Linked DNA regions of Kluyveromyces lactis. The protein of the gene in region 4 interacts with the protein of the main gene of each other region in a pairwise test. Links are inferred from orthologs where the notes say so. Each region holds a gene or a part of one and is shown on either strand. Other genes may lie near its edges. The genes, in order: CBK1, SHO1, STE5, STE50 and ATG17.

Evidence for each region.
Region 1: the proteins of STE50 (region 4) and CBK1 interact in a two-hybrid assay, tested with the Saccharomyces cerevisiae proteins (2 studies listed by BioGRID). The link is inferred for Kluyveromyces lactis from reciprocal best matches to the Saccharomyces cerevisiae genes STE50 and CBK1.
Region 2: the proteins of STE50 (region 4) and SHO1 interact in binary tests that used the Saccharomyces cerevisiae proteins (3 or more experiments, as listed by UniProt). The link is inferred for Kluyveromyces lactis from reciprocal best matches to the Saccharomyces cerevisiae genes STE50 and SHO1.
Region 3: the proteins of STE50 (region 4) and STE5 interact in a two-hybrid assay, tested with the Saccharomyces cerevisiae proteins (2 studies listed by BioGRID). The link is inferred for Kluyveromyces lactis from reciprocal best matches to the Saccharomyces cerevisiae genes STE50 and STE5.
Region 5: the proteins of STE50 (region 4) and ATG17 interact in a two-hybrid assay, tested with the Saccharomyces cerevisiae proteins (2 studies listed by BioGRID). The link is inferred for Kluyveromyces lactis from reciprocal best matches to the Saccharomyces cerevisiae genes STE50 and ATG17.

Annotation. Positions count from the first base shown.
Region 1 is NC_006040.1:668,586-672,608, forward strand, and holds CBK1 (serine/threonine protein kinase CBK1), read right to left. Parts: upstream 2,667-4,023; coding exon 510-2,666; downstream 1-509. Other genes in the region: RPL42A (60S ribosomal protein eL42), read right to left, coding at 3,187-3,503. UniProt on the Saccharomyces cerevisiae protein: Protein kinase that seems to play a role in the regulation of cell morphogenesis and proliferation.
Region 2 is NC_006041.1:628,304-631,359, reverse strand, and holds SHO1 (osmosensor SHO1), read right to left. Parts: upstream 1,584-3,056; coding exon 510-1,583; downstream 1-509. Other genes in the region: DNA-binding protein kinase TEL1, read left to right, coding at 1-206; AVT5 (amino acid transporter), read right to left, coding at 1,907-3,056. UniProt on the Saccharomyces cerevisiae protein: Plasma membrane osmosensor that activates the high osmolarity glycerol (HOG) MAPK signaling pathway in response to high osmolarity.
Region 3 is NC_006042.1:1,102,429-1,106,664, reverse strand, and holds STE5 (Ste5p), read right to left. Parts: upstream 2,758-4,236; coding exon 517-2,757; downstream 1-516. Other genes in the region: SPO71 (Spo71p), read left to right, coding at 1-522; PDA1 (pyruvate dehydrogenase (acetyl-transferring) subunit E1 alpha), read right to left, coding at 3,998-4,236. UniProt on the Saccharomyces cerevisiae protein: Component of the pheromone signal transduction pathway. It mediates pheromone signals acting between STE20 and STE11. It is absolutely required for pheromone-induced transcription of FUS1. May play a role in cell-cycle arrest in response to pheromone.
Region 4 is NC_006039.1:104,639-107,210, reverse strand, and holds STE50 (Ste50p), read right to left. Parts: upstream 1,400-2,572; coding exon 512-1,399; downstream 1-511. Other genes in the region: RRP7 (Rrp7p), read left to right, coding at 1-306; EMI1 (Emi1p), read right to left, coding at 1,794-2,054; MXR2 (peptide-methionine (R)-S-oxide reductase), read left to right, coding at 2,257-2,572.
Region 5 is NC_006040.1:232,093-235,152, forward strand, and holds ATG17 (protein kinase regulatory subunit ATG17), read left to right. Parts: upstream 1-1,288; coding exon 1,289-2,560; downstream 2,561-3,060. Other genes in the region: mRNA splicing protein SPP382, read right to left, coding at 1-1,074; threonine--tRNA ligase MST1, read right to left, coding at 2,669-3,060. UniProt on the Saccharomyces cerevisiae protein: Autophagy-specific protein that functions with ATG13, ATG29, and CIS1/ATG31 in response to autophagy-inducing signals as a scaffold to recruit other ATG proteins to organize pre-autophagosomal structure (PAS) formation.

The DNA.
Region 1 (4,023 bases), on a different chromosome or scaffold from region 4:
TTTGAATCTATATTGGACGGAAAACACTTTGATAAACTCCGTTACCCGGAGTAAGGAGATCATTCACACTAACATGAAATTTTTTTTGCCAGTATATAAAATCAGATACATATTTCTTCGTTTCCACTTATAGGCCTTTCAATGATTAAATACATTAGAACTATTTTAGTTTAACCTTAGTTACTATTTGTTTCCTAAAAGATCAACATCAATATTATCGCTCCACGGTTATCCCTGTGTAAGATTTCGTTCTGCGCGGGGACCGGGTTATGTGTTGTTCACTATTTCCTGGTTTTAATAATTTGTGTTGAAGCGTAGATTTAATACCAAGTACGTTGCTGGGCGCCTGATATTGAGTCAATTTGATTATGATCTATTGGGAATCAGCTGTATCTACATTTTCTCCACTTTAATGACCGTAATGTTTATAATTCTTGGTAGTATTTCTTACTTTCGTTTATTTTATTATATTTAGGAACTTCCGTCGCGGTTATGTACAGAGAGCGTTACTATAGAGCATTCTTTCTAGTTAGATAATCAAACCTAGAGTACGTGTACCCGATGAATGGTAAATCTTCCTTTGCATTGGATTGAGGAACCCCTTGTTGCTGTGTCATCATCTGTTCTCTTTGTCTTGCAGCTTGTGCCATTGCTGGTGAATCAGGGACATTTTCTAATTCATCAGTTGGGAAGAACCTAGTATCTGTGACACTGGACAACTTAGGAATATAAGGAGCTTCCACTTGCCTGATAGTGTTCCAATCAACACCACTGAAGAAAGGATGTGCCTTAATTTCATCGGCACCACCATGTCTACCTAGACGATTTTCAGAGTGAGTTAACAATCTTCTGATTAGATCTTCAGCTTCATAAGAAATATGAATATCATCGGGGAATTGCAAAGTTTGTTCGAAATTCATGATCTTACGATACGTTTCTTGTGGTGTTTCAGAGCAAAATGGAGGCCAACCAATTAGACACTCGTACATAATAGCTCCTAATGACCACCAATCACATTCCTGACCATAACCTTGGTACAGGAAAATTTCAGGTGCAATATAATCCGGAGTACCAACAGTAGAGTATGCCATTAGTCTACGCGACTTTCTCCAAGTTTGCATTTGTTGTCTATTTGTCATGGTTAAATGAATGGCGTCAACCAACATTGTATTTCTATTACCATTGTTTGTTTCGTTTGGGAGCTGAGGTTTTTGTAGATTTAATTGCTGTTGTTGCTGTTGTTGTTGCTGTTGTTTCTTTGCCTCGTCCTCTTGTAATAACTTTTTGTAGTAACTTGAATCGTGAGTCTTATGGAACCCCGTACTCAAACCAAAATCTGATAGTTTAATGTGGCCTCTAATATCTATCAAGATATTATCTGGTTTAATATCTCTGTGAATAAAGCCCAATTTATGAATGACCTCGATAGCAAGTATACATTCTGCCATGTAGAATCTTGTCACATCTTCTGTGAAAATTTGCCATCTGATTAACATGGTCATCAAGTCACCACCCGGCAAAAACTCCATAATTAAATACAAATATTGTGAATCTTGAAAGGAATAATACAATGAAACAACCCACGGAGAATCACTTCCCGCTAGAACATCCCTTTCAGCCTTTACGTGAGCTAACTGATCTTTGTTGTACATTTCCGATTTCAGCAATGTTTTCATAGCATATATCTTGCCTGTGTCTTTCTTTTGTACCAATCTAACTTCACCAAAGGCACCTTTACCGATGACTTTCACTGAATTGAAGTCGTCCAACGATAATCTCGTTCTACGTAGTCTCAAAAATTGTGACTCCTTTTTACCTAAAGAAGCAAGCTGTCTATTCTTACGTTCCTCGGACCAGTCCTGGGATGCCAATTCGGATTCCAGTTCCAATCTTCTTTGATTTCTTTCAATAGCATAACCAACACTACTCTGATAAAAGTTCTCTATCTTGAGCTTAACAGCAGCTGCTTTGTCTTGGGTAGTTTTGGTCAATAGGTCAGGTCTTCTCTCAAAATACATGTAATTATTCGCCGATCCATTCTGTTGTTGAGCTTGCTGCTGAGACTGTTGCTGAGTTTGTCGTTGTCCTTGCTGCTGGGCCTGTTGAGTTTGTTGTTGCTGCTGCTGCTGCTGCTGCTGCTGCTGTGCATGATACGTATTGTGTTGAGGTGACTGAGGTTGGGAAGAGCTTTGTTGCTGAGTAAATGTTGGCGGTGTTTGCTGTGTCTGTTGATGTACCGATCTCACAGGACTCTGTTGACCATTCTGCTGTTGCTGCAGTGGTGGCGGGATGTACAAACCGGACTCACTGGCAACAGAATATTGACCGGGAGATGTATGCTGAGCGGATTGATATACCTTCGAATTAGAGTTGTTGTTATGTGAATAAATGCTTTGAGTTGGTGGTGGAGTCGCTGGATAATTCAAGTTGGGCACATCAGTAAACCCTCCATTCGGATAATATTGATTATTATGCGACTGAGGTTGCGATTGCTGTTGGGTCAGACGGTCTTGTAAAGACGGCTGTGATCCTTGTTGTTTCATATAATTGGTGCTGAACATGGGCTGAGAAGGTTCCGAAAAGGGCATGTTTCCCTGTTGCTGAAAATCGTTTGGACGACCAGAAGGCTGTTGATAGTAGTTCTGATTCGAATATCCACCGTACATTACGTGTTGTTGCTGAAGTAGCGACGTCCAAACGGCCTTGTTGACGTGAAATATGTCTCTAAACGTTAACAGTATAGTTTCATGTTCGTTGTTTTCTAAAACAAGTTTGATTCGATGTTTTTGTTTTTCCAATGAAATTGGCGATTATGGCAAATATTGAAAACATATTTTAGACAATGGAATGAAAAAAGTGGTATACATGGTGAGTATGTACATGTTATATTAGCTAAGGTCATATGTAAGCTTTACTGCCTGCAGGATCAATAATGTAGCCTGAGTCCTACGCTATTCTTTGTAAACAATTCTTGTTAATAAACTCTTATGCGTTCTGCTGAAAATTATACTTAGAATACGTATAATACAAATCGCAAAGTGAAGAAGTACCCAGTGGAGACTAAACTATACAAATGACAGATATGAGATTATAAATGTGATGAAAGAGTATATGTGAATTCGTAATACTTATAGAAAAGTTAAAAAATTGACAAATGGTAACAAATTGGTCTTCCAAAAGATAATCTCAGAATTGCAAAGCTTGACCCTTTTGCTTCTTTTCACCACCCAATTCGAAGTGCTTACATCTCTTCAAAGCCAATTGGGTCTTGGTCTTACAGGACATACATTCCAATCTCAAAACGACCTTCTTGGTAGTCTTAGCTTTCTTGTGGAAAATTTGCTTGGTTTGACCACCGAAACCAGATTGTTTACGGTCATATCTTCTCTTACCTTGAGCGTACAAGGAAGCCTTACCAGCCTTGTATTGGGTAACCTTGTGTTGGGCGTGCTTACGGCACTCCTTACCCTTACAGTAAGTCTTTCTGGTCTTTGGAACGTTAACTGTTAGAAATTAACATATCATAAGATAGTGATACATGTCGATGTTAGTAAAAAAATATTCTTTAGCTTCATCCAGCTTATTTTGATTGCAGGAATTCTATTCTCTTCTTCTTATTGTATAGGGAGGTCCAGGCTATCTGAACCCCAGTTGTTTAATACGACTGAGTTCCTGTTAATTATGTTCAGTCAGTGTAGCGTTGACTTCACTGATATACAATTCTCTGAGGTTGTCTCGACTACACCGAATTAAGAAACATAGGGACAACAAATAACCCAAATTACTTCCTCCAGCGTGAACAGGGTTTTATGCTAGTGAATCGTCCATACTTCGACCAAAATACTGATCTTTTGATATAGTTCACCAACTCAAATGAACTCTCCCCCCTTGTCGATGCAATATCTGAATTTCCAATACGGTTGGTGTTTTCTCATTGATTCACTCTGAAATGCTGTATTCTGTTAAATAACCATAGCTCATTTCATGTTCACTTGGTACTAAACTTCAAACGTTCCATTCTTC
Region 2 (3,056 bases), on a different chromosome or scaffold from region 4:
AAATTAGTGTTTCCGATGCAGATTTCAGCGAGCTTTTAGAAGAAGATAATAATAATGATGAATCCATAAGAGCACTAAAGGGAGTTGAAAGTAAGTTATATGGAGACGGTTTGAGCGTTGAAGCAATTGTTCAGGAGCTTTTGTCCAGTGCTACTGACAAACAAAATTTAGCGACAATTTACATGGGATGGTCCCCATTTTATTAAGATTGATGTGTTTGAAGTTCTTACTCGAGATGAAGACTTTATTATACTACCAGCACCTGAAGCGATTTGCAAGCAGTATAATTATAAATAATAGCATATTCATTAAATAGCATGATTCATTCGAAGCAAGTATTTGCGTGTTAATGAAGAATTCAGTAACTGTGTTGATAAAAGCACTTGAATTTTTCGCGAATAAGGTTGATAAGCCGGTTGTTATTGCAAACTGTGGAAATAATATAATATAAAAGACGATACACAAATCAAATGTTTAATGATACAAACTGATGGGAGGCAGTAATAAAATCAGTGTGATTTCCCATCCAAAAGCTTAACGTAATTACTTGGGATAATCCCTGTTTCCCCGTTTGACTTCTTGGCTTTCCACCATCTACCCTCGATATCACCAACCCTGAGAATTTCGCCCTGTTCGAAGGATATTTCATACGCGTCAGTTTGGTCCGCTTGATAGGTATATAAAGCCTCTGCAGTGTATGGGAAACTGTTTAATTCTTCACCAATGTCACTGTATAGGCCTAATGTGTCTCCCATGGTAGTATCTGTGTTGGCATTGGTGGTATCTGTGATGAAAGTGCCAGTGGCCTGTGTATTCAGTGTAGCAGTATTTTGCGCATTAACATCAAGGTTTGGTTTCGAAGAGGAATGATCTGTATTTTCAAATCCGTTCAGCACTGTAGACGACACATACTTTGTAGACGATTGAAGTTCTGGCGCATACATGTTGCCACTGTGGCCCTCACCTTCGTCATCGTGGTGGACATCAGGCAGAGATGCTGAACGCAAGTCTTCCTGGTATTGGTATGGGTAAGAAGGTTTGACCGGCAGTCTCTGCGATCTGGCAATAGCCATGGATGTCTCTAGCACCGAAGGACGAATTCCGCGTAGTGAGAACGAATCGATCCATCTATTGGTTGGAGATGCATTATCTCCACCAAAATAAATCACCCACACCAAATTGATCATGGATAACAAGATAAATCCTGCTGCTGCTGCACCACTCTTGGACCCTTCATAGTACACAATACTGTTAGTACTATTCGAAGTATATACGAATGCGATACCAACAGCACAAGTAATGAACATTCTATAGTAGTCAACTAAATCCAAACAGTACACGATAAAAAGCGTAATCATTAGTAGTATCTCGTAAACTATAGTCCACCAAGAAAATCTTGGGAATGGAGACGTAGATGCTGCAACAGCAATGGATCCCGCCAATGCAATGATCCATGAGATCAATGCAATACTAAGTGTGCCTATGGCAAAAGGATCGCCCAAAAATGACGAGATGTTAAATTGATGAGATACATGCGGATTCTCCCTTACAGCACGGGCTTGACTTGCTTTAATCAACGCCATCTCTCTGTTTGCAGATATTCCCTTGCCTCGCTGGACTATTGGAACACTTGTGACAACACAACAACTAAAATTGAAATAAACTTGCTTCAAGTTCAAGTATGTTCGTATTGATTACTTTTTATATTTATGTATATACGGTATACATTTATCATTTTTTTTGGTGTCTGTCTACAATGAGAGATGAGTTATTTTTTGATCATGTGACAGGCAGCAACCAAAGGCTCGCTAGGAATACGCGGGCCGCTTATTTAGAGTGTCAATCGGGAGTACAATTGGTAGCAGTATCAATGGTTAGTCTCTAGTACCCTGTTTATCCTGTACCCTCAATGTGTCGCATGTAGAAATATGGTAGCACTTAGTGAAGTTATCATGACGATGAATCCCCAAATAGCAAGTAACAATGAGATAATTCTCAAGATTCGTTCTTTTGCTGGTGGTACAACGGATTTGGCGTACTCCGATGCGATTAACTTGTAGCCAAATATTCCAGGTAAGATGAAGGATATAGAAGTGGATCCGGTTGCTCCTACTATTGACAAAACGTTTGCTAGCGACGTAACACTCATAGCGAGGATGTACGAAAATAATAGGATTCCAGACGTGATAAAGATGAATCTAGGGCCTTCTAACGTTACTACTGGAGGCTGATTAGCGCTGTTTTCTTCAATTAATTCGTCTTCGCATTCGTAGGTTAACTGTTCGCTAGATTCGAGTTCAGAGTCCCGTAATAGACTGTTTTGTTCTGCACTTGTGGTTGTCATTGGGGGATGGGTGTTCCCCTTGGAGAAGTAATGTAAGATATGATTGACAGATGCTCTAGCTGGATGACATTGTAGCGGGAAGGCAAGGATCACTAACAATGCTATAGCTATTCTACCGATGGTGCTGGAAATGGAGTTTGGGTATAAGGTGATAATGTTACCAGTAATATGATCACCGAAGGTGCAATAACCTAGCGCTCCAATGGAAATGTACAAAGACATTGCTAGCGTAATGGCAATCCTAATCAATTTCGTTATACTGTCTAAAGATTTGTCTGATTGTTCATTGATGATGGAAAACATGTTGTGATGGCAAGTATACGCGAAAACGAAAATTGGAAAACTGCTTAGCATGGATGAATCCACATCACTGGGTTTCCAGATGCTAACATGGCCTCTTAAATGGTCGATTTCGCTATTTGGAACGGCAAAATGGAAGACAACTAATACGCATAAGTACCCAACTGCTGTAATTGCAATGGAAGAAGTGTACCTTAAAGAGTCTAACTTCTTAATGAAACACAACGGTGTCACGATGATCAACGTAACTGCAGTGATGTGAAACTGGCGTGATAAGAGCCACCCATGGGTTGTAAACGTGGACATTATCTGTGGTAACAAATCTCCAACGACCACCAAATATGAAACTCCGACCCCAAAACATTTAACAGCAATTGCAGCATCGAAAACGACGCTCAATTCAGGACGAGTT
Region 3 (4,236 bases), on a different chromosome or scaffold from region 4:
ATAATACACCAAGGATTAATTTATCATAAATCCAGAAAACATTCAGTATTCAACAAGCATTTCATGGTGTTGATTCCTGGGTTTATAATGTTGTACCACTGTTTCGATAGATCCATAAGGGGCTACGCGAAAGATTCGACAAAGTATAGACATTTTTTAACGATTCCGATAGAGAAATGCTATCTATATTCAGGTGCCCTCAGTGAACAGGAACTCTTGGACCGAGACAAAGACTTTAACTCTATTAATCCAGGTTCTCATAGTCTCTCAAGAGTGTATGCTGACGGATGGAAAAGCATGGATGAAGAGAGTAGTAGGACTTTTGTTATGTGGTTTCCAAACAAAAGGATAATGTTAAGTTCAGTAATAACACCAGAAACTCCGGACTCTTCAAAATTTCACGTTGTTGATAAACTTGGAGTCTCGGGAAAATCGATGATTTTTATGTGTCGATCCAGGCAAGAGAGAGATTTGTGGATGGTAAAAATATATGATGAATTAGAGAGAGTGAAAATGTTATAAATAGTCGTACATATGATTTGATTGCCGGTCTTCAATAGATTCACTAATACCATTCATAGATCCTGTCAAGTCAGCCTGTACGTGATTTTCCCAGGATATAGGTGATGAAAGCCGGAATGTTCTATTCTTATCTGGAACTGAATCCACTTCAAAATCACTAGAGGAGGTACTGACACAGTCACTACTATCTAAATCATCATCAAAGCTCAAATTAAAACTATAGGCAACAGCTTCAAGCAATTCGTTCCAGTCCTGAATTTCAACGAGTTCTTTGATATTATCACTATAATCTACATTCAGAAAGCCTACTTTTATTTTTAATTCATTTGGATGCCGTTTGCCTGCATCAGCGAATATTCGATAATCGCTAAAAAGACATGATTTACCATTCTCCATGGATGAGTTTGATAAAACAACAACCCCAACATTTTTGCATATTTTCTGTTTTTGCCGATACCATAATTGGTGTAAAAGATCTGGAGAGAATGGTTGATTACCATTACTTTTTATCGGACCAGCCAACGAATTGAGAACATCGTTAGCAGTTCCGCAATTGATGACCATTCCTTCAACATCAACAATACAGCAGTTAAAAGTAGAAAACTTCCAAGTCAAAGCTAAAATGACGTTCTTGATCGAGACGATATTATCTTCATTAGTCTTTCTTTTATCTAATTGCAACACCAAATTTAATTCATTTGGTGTTGCTCTTTTGATGGACAAAATGGATGATATTGAGGTTAACACGGATGAATCTCGAATTGTTTTAGGGATAAGGGTTTCATTTAAGGTACTCTGTCGTCTGACAATGATTGTACCTGTATCATTGGTGCTAGGAATGCAAGCCACAAATTCGGGAACCTTGATCGAAGTGAAATCATAATTTCCGAACGGCAAAGTAAGATCAAATAGAGCTGTTATCCATTTTTCTAAAGCTTTTGTATCCAACCCATAAGGTTTAATAAGAATTCTTTCCCCAGAACGAGATTTTGATTCAAGAGTAGTTGCATCTAATAAATCTAGTTCAGGAGGATTATTCAATTGGAAACAACGGTAGCTCGAGAATTGAAGAACATTTGCCGAAGTAGCAGGAGATGGTCGACATACTAGTAAATATTCCGAAAATAGGTAGCAAACCTGGTGTTGGAAATTTATGCCATCTAATGATATCAAAAAATTATCTATCAATCGTAAGAGTCCATATTTAGCATCAATTTCCCAAGGCTTGACTTCGCTAAAACTATTCAAAAACGCTTGAATGAAATACTGCCTTTGAACGTGCAAAGAAGGCAGTTGACAGTCATCTTTCGAGGAAGATGATACGATGGACGACAAGCCAGAAACCGTACTTCCTCTGAAGTTGGATCTTCTTTTTATACTGCGACTCCTATGCAAACGGATGGAATCTCGAAGAGATGGAGTAACCGTTTTCCCTGGTTTCAAAGAAAATGCAAAAGATAACCTGATATCGTTATTTCTTGCAGTTGTTCTAGTAGTCTGCAAATGTGGAAACGTTTCATCATTACCTGAGTGCTTGGGTAAGAGGTCTGCATCGCACAATTTTATCCGCTCGTAGTTTTCTTGAGGATTATACGGTTCGAGTCCAACACTTTCACCGTCATCAGGTAAGGTTAACAAGTGTGACCTTACCTTCTGTCGCATATCTTCCTGTCCCGGTATGCATGACATACTACAGATGTCGCATTTCGGCAAGGCATCATACAGGTTTGATTTATGAGGAAGAGGTCGTAAACTCACCATTAAACAATCTTCATGACACATATGGTTACACTCCAAAGGGATTACCTTCTCATTAGAACCCTTGAACGAACAAAGATCTCCGCATATGCAACATCTCTCATTTTTCCAAGACTTATTACCATTTTTTCGAGTGGGCTTCTTTCCTAAGGTCTCATGTCCAATGGGAGAGAGCATTATGGGTGGAGGCGGCATGATCGGATCTACCAGGAGGTGCTTAGGATGCTGTTTTGACACTGGTCTTATGGGAGAACTATCATAGAAGGAAGATATCATGGATGATGCAGTCGATGGAGTACCAACTGAAGGCGTCTTCACTCTCTTCTTAGAAAAAAGCTCTGTCCATCTTCTTGGCGATGAGGTATTGGACCCTGAAGTGGATCCTGTATCCAGTTTAGGCACCGGGGAGGATCCCACATTAGTCAATTGAAATAAGATATCCTGAGAATTCATTGATGATGTATTACCTCTAGACATTTCTAGCAAAGTAATAGTTAATATGCTCTAGTCAGCCGTAGTGTTACTCTTAAATTCCTTAAAGTTTGAAGACTTTTGGATGTATTCTTAATACTTTGAACAATAATTGTTCAGTTATTCAATTGATAGATTAGCACATAAGTAACGATATCATGGTAGCTACTTTGGAGAATTCACTAAAAGAATCTCAAATCTCCCGGAATCTGCAATCACTATATTTTCCCCTTTCATCATGATGCCATTTTGAGGTTGTTTCAGATTTAAACATCAACGGTCTTAAGTAATGAATAATTTTCTTCCCTTAAATGAAAACAGAGATAGTGATGAAATCAGGACAAAGTGTACATTTTAGGAAGTCGATGAGTAGGGTCCTGCAGTGACTCTGGAACCAGGGTGACAAAACTGTCTCTAGTATATCTATGATACTTTAATTCAGTAAATACAATTTATATATAGACTAGATGTAAGTCTAGTAAATAGAGATGAGATGATTATTGGGGTAAGTCGTCGTGAGATCAGTCATTAGAAAGGTGAGTAGATGATTCAATGATGGACAAGGTATTGTAACTTTTCATCTGTCTAATATGCGGCTTCGCATTTGACGACATTGTATCGTAGCAACCAAAAAGGGGAGAGACAATTTATGGTGAAGAACAATGTCAGATTAGTTTACAAAACCTAGTTCACAATAAATCATGTTTATAACAGGCGCAAGATCAACGTAAGAAAAGAAGATTGTAGCACGAATTATTGAGGTAGTTTTTGGGAGTAATGAGAAAATTCTGTATCGTTGTTTTGTTTGGGAAGAAATTAAAACGCAGGTAATCCGTAATGGCAGGCATCAGTAACCAGATAATGTTCTCGGCATTGAGAATAAGCATCAACGAAGTCTCATGGAGAGAGAGAGAATGAGAAGTCACAGATGAACATTCATGTTTTAAAACCGAAAAAAACAGTTATCTGAATAGAAACCATACCGTGAATGAAATGAATAAAAAACACTTGTATCTAAAAGGTGTTTTTTTATGATTTTGGTACTTTAATATTGATTGGTGGAAAATAGCAGATGCACTATACAAATAGTATCATCTTGTGAACCTTATAGCATAATATTGTGAAAGGGCAGTTTATAGGAATATAGTTGTCTTTCGAAAAGGGAAGAGTAGAGAGATGGGAATAAAAAAAAGGATAAACGCAAAGAAGTTAACTTTAACGTTCAATTACCTAATTCGTTCTTGCTCTAATCTCTGAAAGCAAAGCTCTTCTTAGCAAAATCCCAAGTATCTTCTTGCAATCTACCTCTTAGGGTTGGAGTTTCAGAACCTGGAACGTAGACATCCTCGAACAAGATGGACATCTTAGCTTCTGGAGCTGGGGCAGCATCAGCTAATTCGACTTGCTCATCGACGTACTTTCTAGCAGCCTTGTCGTAAGCCTTAATTTCATCTTCCGTGGCGATACCCAATTCCAATAAGTGCA
Region 4 (2,572 bases):
CAAGCTCAAGAAGAAGTACAATCATCTATTGTTGATGAAGATGGTTTCACATTAGTAGTAGGAAAGAATACAAAATCATTAAACAGCATAAGGAAAAAGATATTCAACAGAAATCCATTATTAAAGCATGAGAAACCTAAGAAGATGCCTAATATGGTTGACAAGAAGGCAAAGAAGGACTTCTATAGATTCCAAGTCCGTGAAAGAAAGAAGCAGGAAATTAATGAGTTGCTAGCCAAATTCAAGCAAGATCAAGAAAAGATAAAGGAGATGAAGTCCAAAAGAAGGTTCAACCCGTACACATAATTATTTGAGAAAACTTTCCTGATAAGGTGCTCTATTTGTTATTTACTATAGTTGAGAATGTGTCTTTGTACAACATACGTAACTCTTATAGAAAGAGATAATTAATCTATCAATACAATTATTCGTTCATGAAAGCTCTAAAATGAAAGTTTATGGTTGCTTGCCAAGTGTTTTTTCCAGTTGATGAAGGAGGAGATAACAAACATTATAGCCTACCTCCCGGTGTTGCTGCCATTTCTCCCACTTCCTCAAAGTCACCTTTTTGTCTTAACATAATTGCAGGATGCAGGCCTTGTTGTTTTAAAGACTTGAAGATCTGTACTGGTTTTTCATCGAGATCAAGAACTCGTTCTTGATCTCCATAGCATATCACTAAAACATGCTGTCTCCAATCCGTTTCATTCAAATTGTGCCTCTTCATCGCATTTCTTAAAACCTTTTCACATGAATCCTCCTTTGAGGCACGTAATTGTTTCATAGGTTCTGAACTTGGAGCTGATGATACTCCAGCTCCGCCTGGAGTATTCGCCGATCCGGGTGTGGTGGCAATATGTGACGATGAAACATTTCTGGTGCTTGAAGATTGTGGTGGCAGCCCTGGATTGGAATTCGATCTGTATTTGGGTGATGATGGCGTGTGTGAAGAATGGTGTGGAGCTCTATCGAAGTAATCTTGCGAAGAAGGTTGATGTTGAAGTTGTTGAGAAGACTGAGAGGAACCTGAACCAGATCCACTGTTCCTCTTCACGATTTCCAACAAATCCAATCTGAGTTGCGCATAATTAGATTGGAATTCTTGTAACTTTTCATTTAACGTCTGGTGTAAGCCTTTCATAGTCAACACTAATTCTTGTTCCGGTGCTTGTTCTTCCGTGTCAACAAATTTGTTTATGCATGTCTTAAGCCTCACGGCACTAATGCTATCAGGACATAACTCCTTGCAATCGGCAAGTGTGATTTCAGATAACGTAGATCCAGTTATCTTGTTCTCTCGTATTCTATCTAGGATGAATGTATCTCCGTCCGTTAATCCAAGTTCTGCTTTGACTTTCTTGCAAACCTCCTCAGTTGACCATTCATTTGTACCGCTCATTATTTGTTTTTGTTTCTATGCCTGTTCTTAAGAGATGTAAAAACACAATTGAATCACTGGTTAGCCACTGATCAATATGCTTCTGTTGGCTCAATGATATGCTCCACAGACTGAGCTGTTCCCCGGATCTCCTTTCATCAACTTTCTGGTATCACTTGGTTTTATTCAAATAATCGATTAAGTTTAAATATAGATTTTCCCATATTGTCGGAAATCATAAAGAAATGACAAGGAACCCTGCGAATATTCTGACATAAGATTCCTGGGGAACGGGGTAATCCTGTTACTACATTCGCGCTAGAAGTATTTCGATGCAATCGTAACTTTGATTCATTTATTTACAGGACATACGTGTGGAAAATATACAACTATCTATCATTCCAACGGCCATGGTTTATACTCTTTCTTTCCAAATGTCATCGGAGGTACCTTTCCTTTCTTGGTTCTTCTGCCACTGCTCTTTGTGCCATTCCTGTACCTTCACGGGATCTTTACTATGGATCACACAAAACTTAAATTTCTCGAATTCTTTCAGACATTCGTTCATGTGGCCATGTCTGTAGTAATTTCTAAACTGACCTCCTAAACTGAAACATCCTGTTAACTGATCAAATGCATCAGTGCAAGACATTGTTGTTGGATAATTAGATGACATAGTGTTGAATATCGTTTACAGTCTATGATATTTTCTATTTGGTAAGTAGCTGTGGTAATGGTCAAAACTGGGCGGACTGGTTTGCTGCTTCCGTAATCAACCTCCTTCTTTCGTTTTGTAGATTGCTCTTTATTGACAAAGATGTTTAAGCTGTAAATTATAGAATTTTGGATTTTTTCAACTAGCTTTCTGCAAGAAGCCGATGAGCCATGCTATCGTAAAGAGAAAACAACTGGAAACTCGCATTTGTAATCACCATCGGATCTATTGTTCAGCTTTCATTATTTTGTTGATAGGTATAATTCTTAAAGTTTTACCACTCCATAATTGTTTCACACTTTTGATGCTCTCAAGAAGTTGTTCAAGGATTTTATCTTTAAACTTATCAAAGCAATTTTACAGAACAATGAATAGCACCGGTAAATGGAATCCGAGTTTGACTTCAGAACAGCTAAGAGTACTACGTGATAAGGGTACGGAGAGACCAAACACAGGAAATTACTTGCACAACAAACAAA
Region 5 (3,060 bases), on a different chromosome or scaffold from region 4:
AGCCGGCATAATGTAGCGGGAAAGGAAGTGTTCCCTGCAGCTAATAAAGTCAATAATAGGTAAATACTGAACGGTTATTTGACGTAGCATCCTCGAATATCCGGTATTTGAATCTAACCAATAACATAAGGGTTGATACACCAACCTATAAATGCTGCTTTGTGTTTCGTTCAAAATATATCCAGATTCCATTCTATATGAAAGAAACCTTATTGCTGCCCTCAAATGGTTCAACTTTTCGACCTGCATATCTGCCGTATTAATTCCACGATTAAGCTCTTTGAGCAAGAACATGGTACAGAGCTTATCAAGTATGTCATCGTCATTTATTTCTAGGCATTCAGTAATCTGATCTTCAAGACTTGGTTGCGAAAGTTGTTTTTCCTTGACTTTTTCTAAAACACTTTGTAGCCTTTCCTCTTGGTGTACTTTGCGCTCGTCATCTAGTTGAGCTTTTTCCAAGCCAACTTGTATTCTATCTATGTCCGAATGAAGCTGCAGAAGCTTATTAGCAATTTCATTCAAAGAGGAAATCTCTTCTTCATGTAATTCAGAACCATTGATTGTTCTTGTCACCGTATCAGGTAGTTCTATTTTTAATTCCGCAAGGAGACTTATATTTTGAATCAATTTCTCAAGCTGGGTGGCACGACGAGTCTTAAACTCCACTGTTTTCTTTTTATTTGAACTTTCATCTGATGATGCTGAAGTATTACTATAGTTGGAGTCATCTCTATCATGTACTGCACTTAACATCCCTAATCCGACACCTTTAGGACGAGTGACTGTTTCGATTGGGTTCACTATACCTTTCCCATCTCGTCCTAAACCTTCACCTTGTTTGTAACCCATTTTTGATAAAAGCTTGGCACCCATACCATAGGTCTTTAACATCTGGTCGCTTTTCAATCCATCATTGGAGTTGGCTTGTCGTACCGGTTCATAGTCTTCTTCTTCTTTTTGTTCTTCATTGTCATCGCTATATCCATATGGATCGGTAAATACCATACTATTCATTGTCATACTGATCTTTCTTCTTTTGAACTGATCATCGTCACTGATATGTTCTGACATCTATACTGAATCACTGGAGTAGTAATAGCTGACTTGGAGTGACTGATACTCCTTTCAATCTTTACTCCGATTAATAGGTATTTATTCATACTTTGAAAAGATTTAAAGGTTTGAAGTTCAGTCTTCGAAGTGAAATTGACCGTTTAAGGGTTTCAAATTGGAAACGTTGAAGAGATGAAGATCTTTCGGTTGATCTGAACTGCGTCTACAAGAAATGAGTGATGCTGCAACTACTATACCCAGTGATGAGATAGATAAATTGTGGAATAAGGCGAGAAACCAGCTTGTGGAAGCTCAAGTCGAATGTGAAGAATCATTAAAAATCCTCTCTAAAGTGCGAACTGAAATGGACAGCTCTCAAAAGTCCAGATTTAAACTTAAATTTATACTTAATTGTTTGGTGAACCAGGTTGAGTTCTTCAAGAATATCATGCTCGAGAAATGTATTTCTACAGAGTTGATTGACAATGAATGGTCAAAGCTGGTTTTAGTCGAGATAGTCAATGACGTGAGTTATTGGCAAAACGAGATAACAACAAAGATGAAGATCTTGCAGGGTACAAAATACGACTTGACTGACGATCACAGTAGCCTTTCAGATTTCATATGCATGGATCACGTAGACATACTACAACAAAAAATCGATGAGATTCCTATTATAAAACAACAAGTGACAAACATACGACAACACTACAAATCGATAAAAGATCGAATAGAAAACCAACTAGTGGCTGTAAAGTTGAAAAAACTCAGAACTTACTTTGATTCACATTTCAGCAGGGATAGCAAAAATAATCTATTCAAATTGTTGGAAAGTGATTATGTCACTGAATTGAACGAATTTGAGAATGAACTTGCCGATTTCTTGAGATCAATCACTGATCATTTCGACAAATGCACGATATTGAAGGAACAGCAGATTCCACTACCAGATTTGAAGGAACTTTTCCAGATTGTAAAGAAAGACGATACACAGTTAGAAAATATAAGGGAATTAGTATTCGAAACGGGACTTGAAGTGAAAGCTTTCTCAAAGAAAGTCAATGAAACAATAAGTGAAATAATGGACAAAATTGGTGGATTCCATCTGCTGGCTTCCAAGATTGTGACAGAGTTAGAAAAATGTGAGGAATACTTATCTATCTTCCAAAAGATTGCTAATTTAGTATTCGTTTATAAGGAATCTTGCATAAAAAAGATTGAACAAGTGCAACAACTCTGTGAGTTTTACGATAAGTTCAAATTAGGGTATAAAAACCTTCTACGAGAAAGAGACAGACGGAAAGCCACTGCGTTACAAATGGAGAAAATATTAAAGGAATGTCAGGAGAAACTACAGGCACTGAGTGATGCTGACTTGGACCAACGCCAGCAATTTTTACTTGAAAATGGTGACTATCTTCCCGAAAACATCTGGCCAGGTTATATCGACGATATGGAATCGATGTATAGTTTCGAATATAGCATACATAATGTACCGAATTGACGGTATTGTGTTATTATTGATACATAAGTATACATATTTACAGGTATAAATTATCTTTTACATCGTTATGGTTAACATTACTTTCTGTGGTTCAAAAATTGCAAGGTATCATTTATAATTTTTCTCAAGATCGACGAACCTTTCAAAGACATCATCGATAGTTAGTAAATCCACTTTCTTCGACTCCCTGGTTCTAATCGCCACCTTGCCTGCTTCAACTTCTTTGTCACCAATCATTATAATATAAGAATAATGCTTCTTGATGGCTTCTCTAATTCTTTTACTTACAGATTCATCTCTTGCATCCATATCAACAGAGAAATGGAAGCTGTTGAGTGGAATTGGGCTTTTTGGATCACTATTTTCACCACGTAATGAGTTGACTGTCTTGAAAGCCAATTCCATTATCTTCTCATCTTCAGTCTTCACTGGGATGACCATACATTGGTTTGGATTCAACCAAAACGGCCATTTACCTTTGCTTGAATCAATTAAAATGG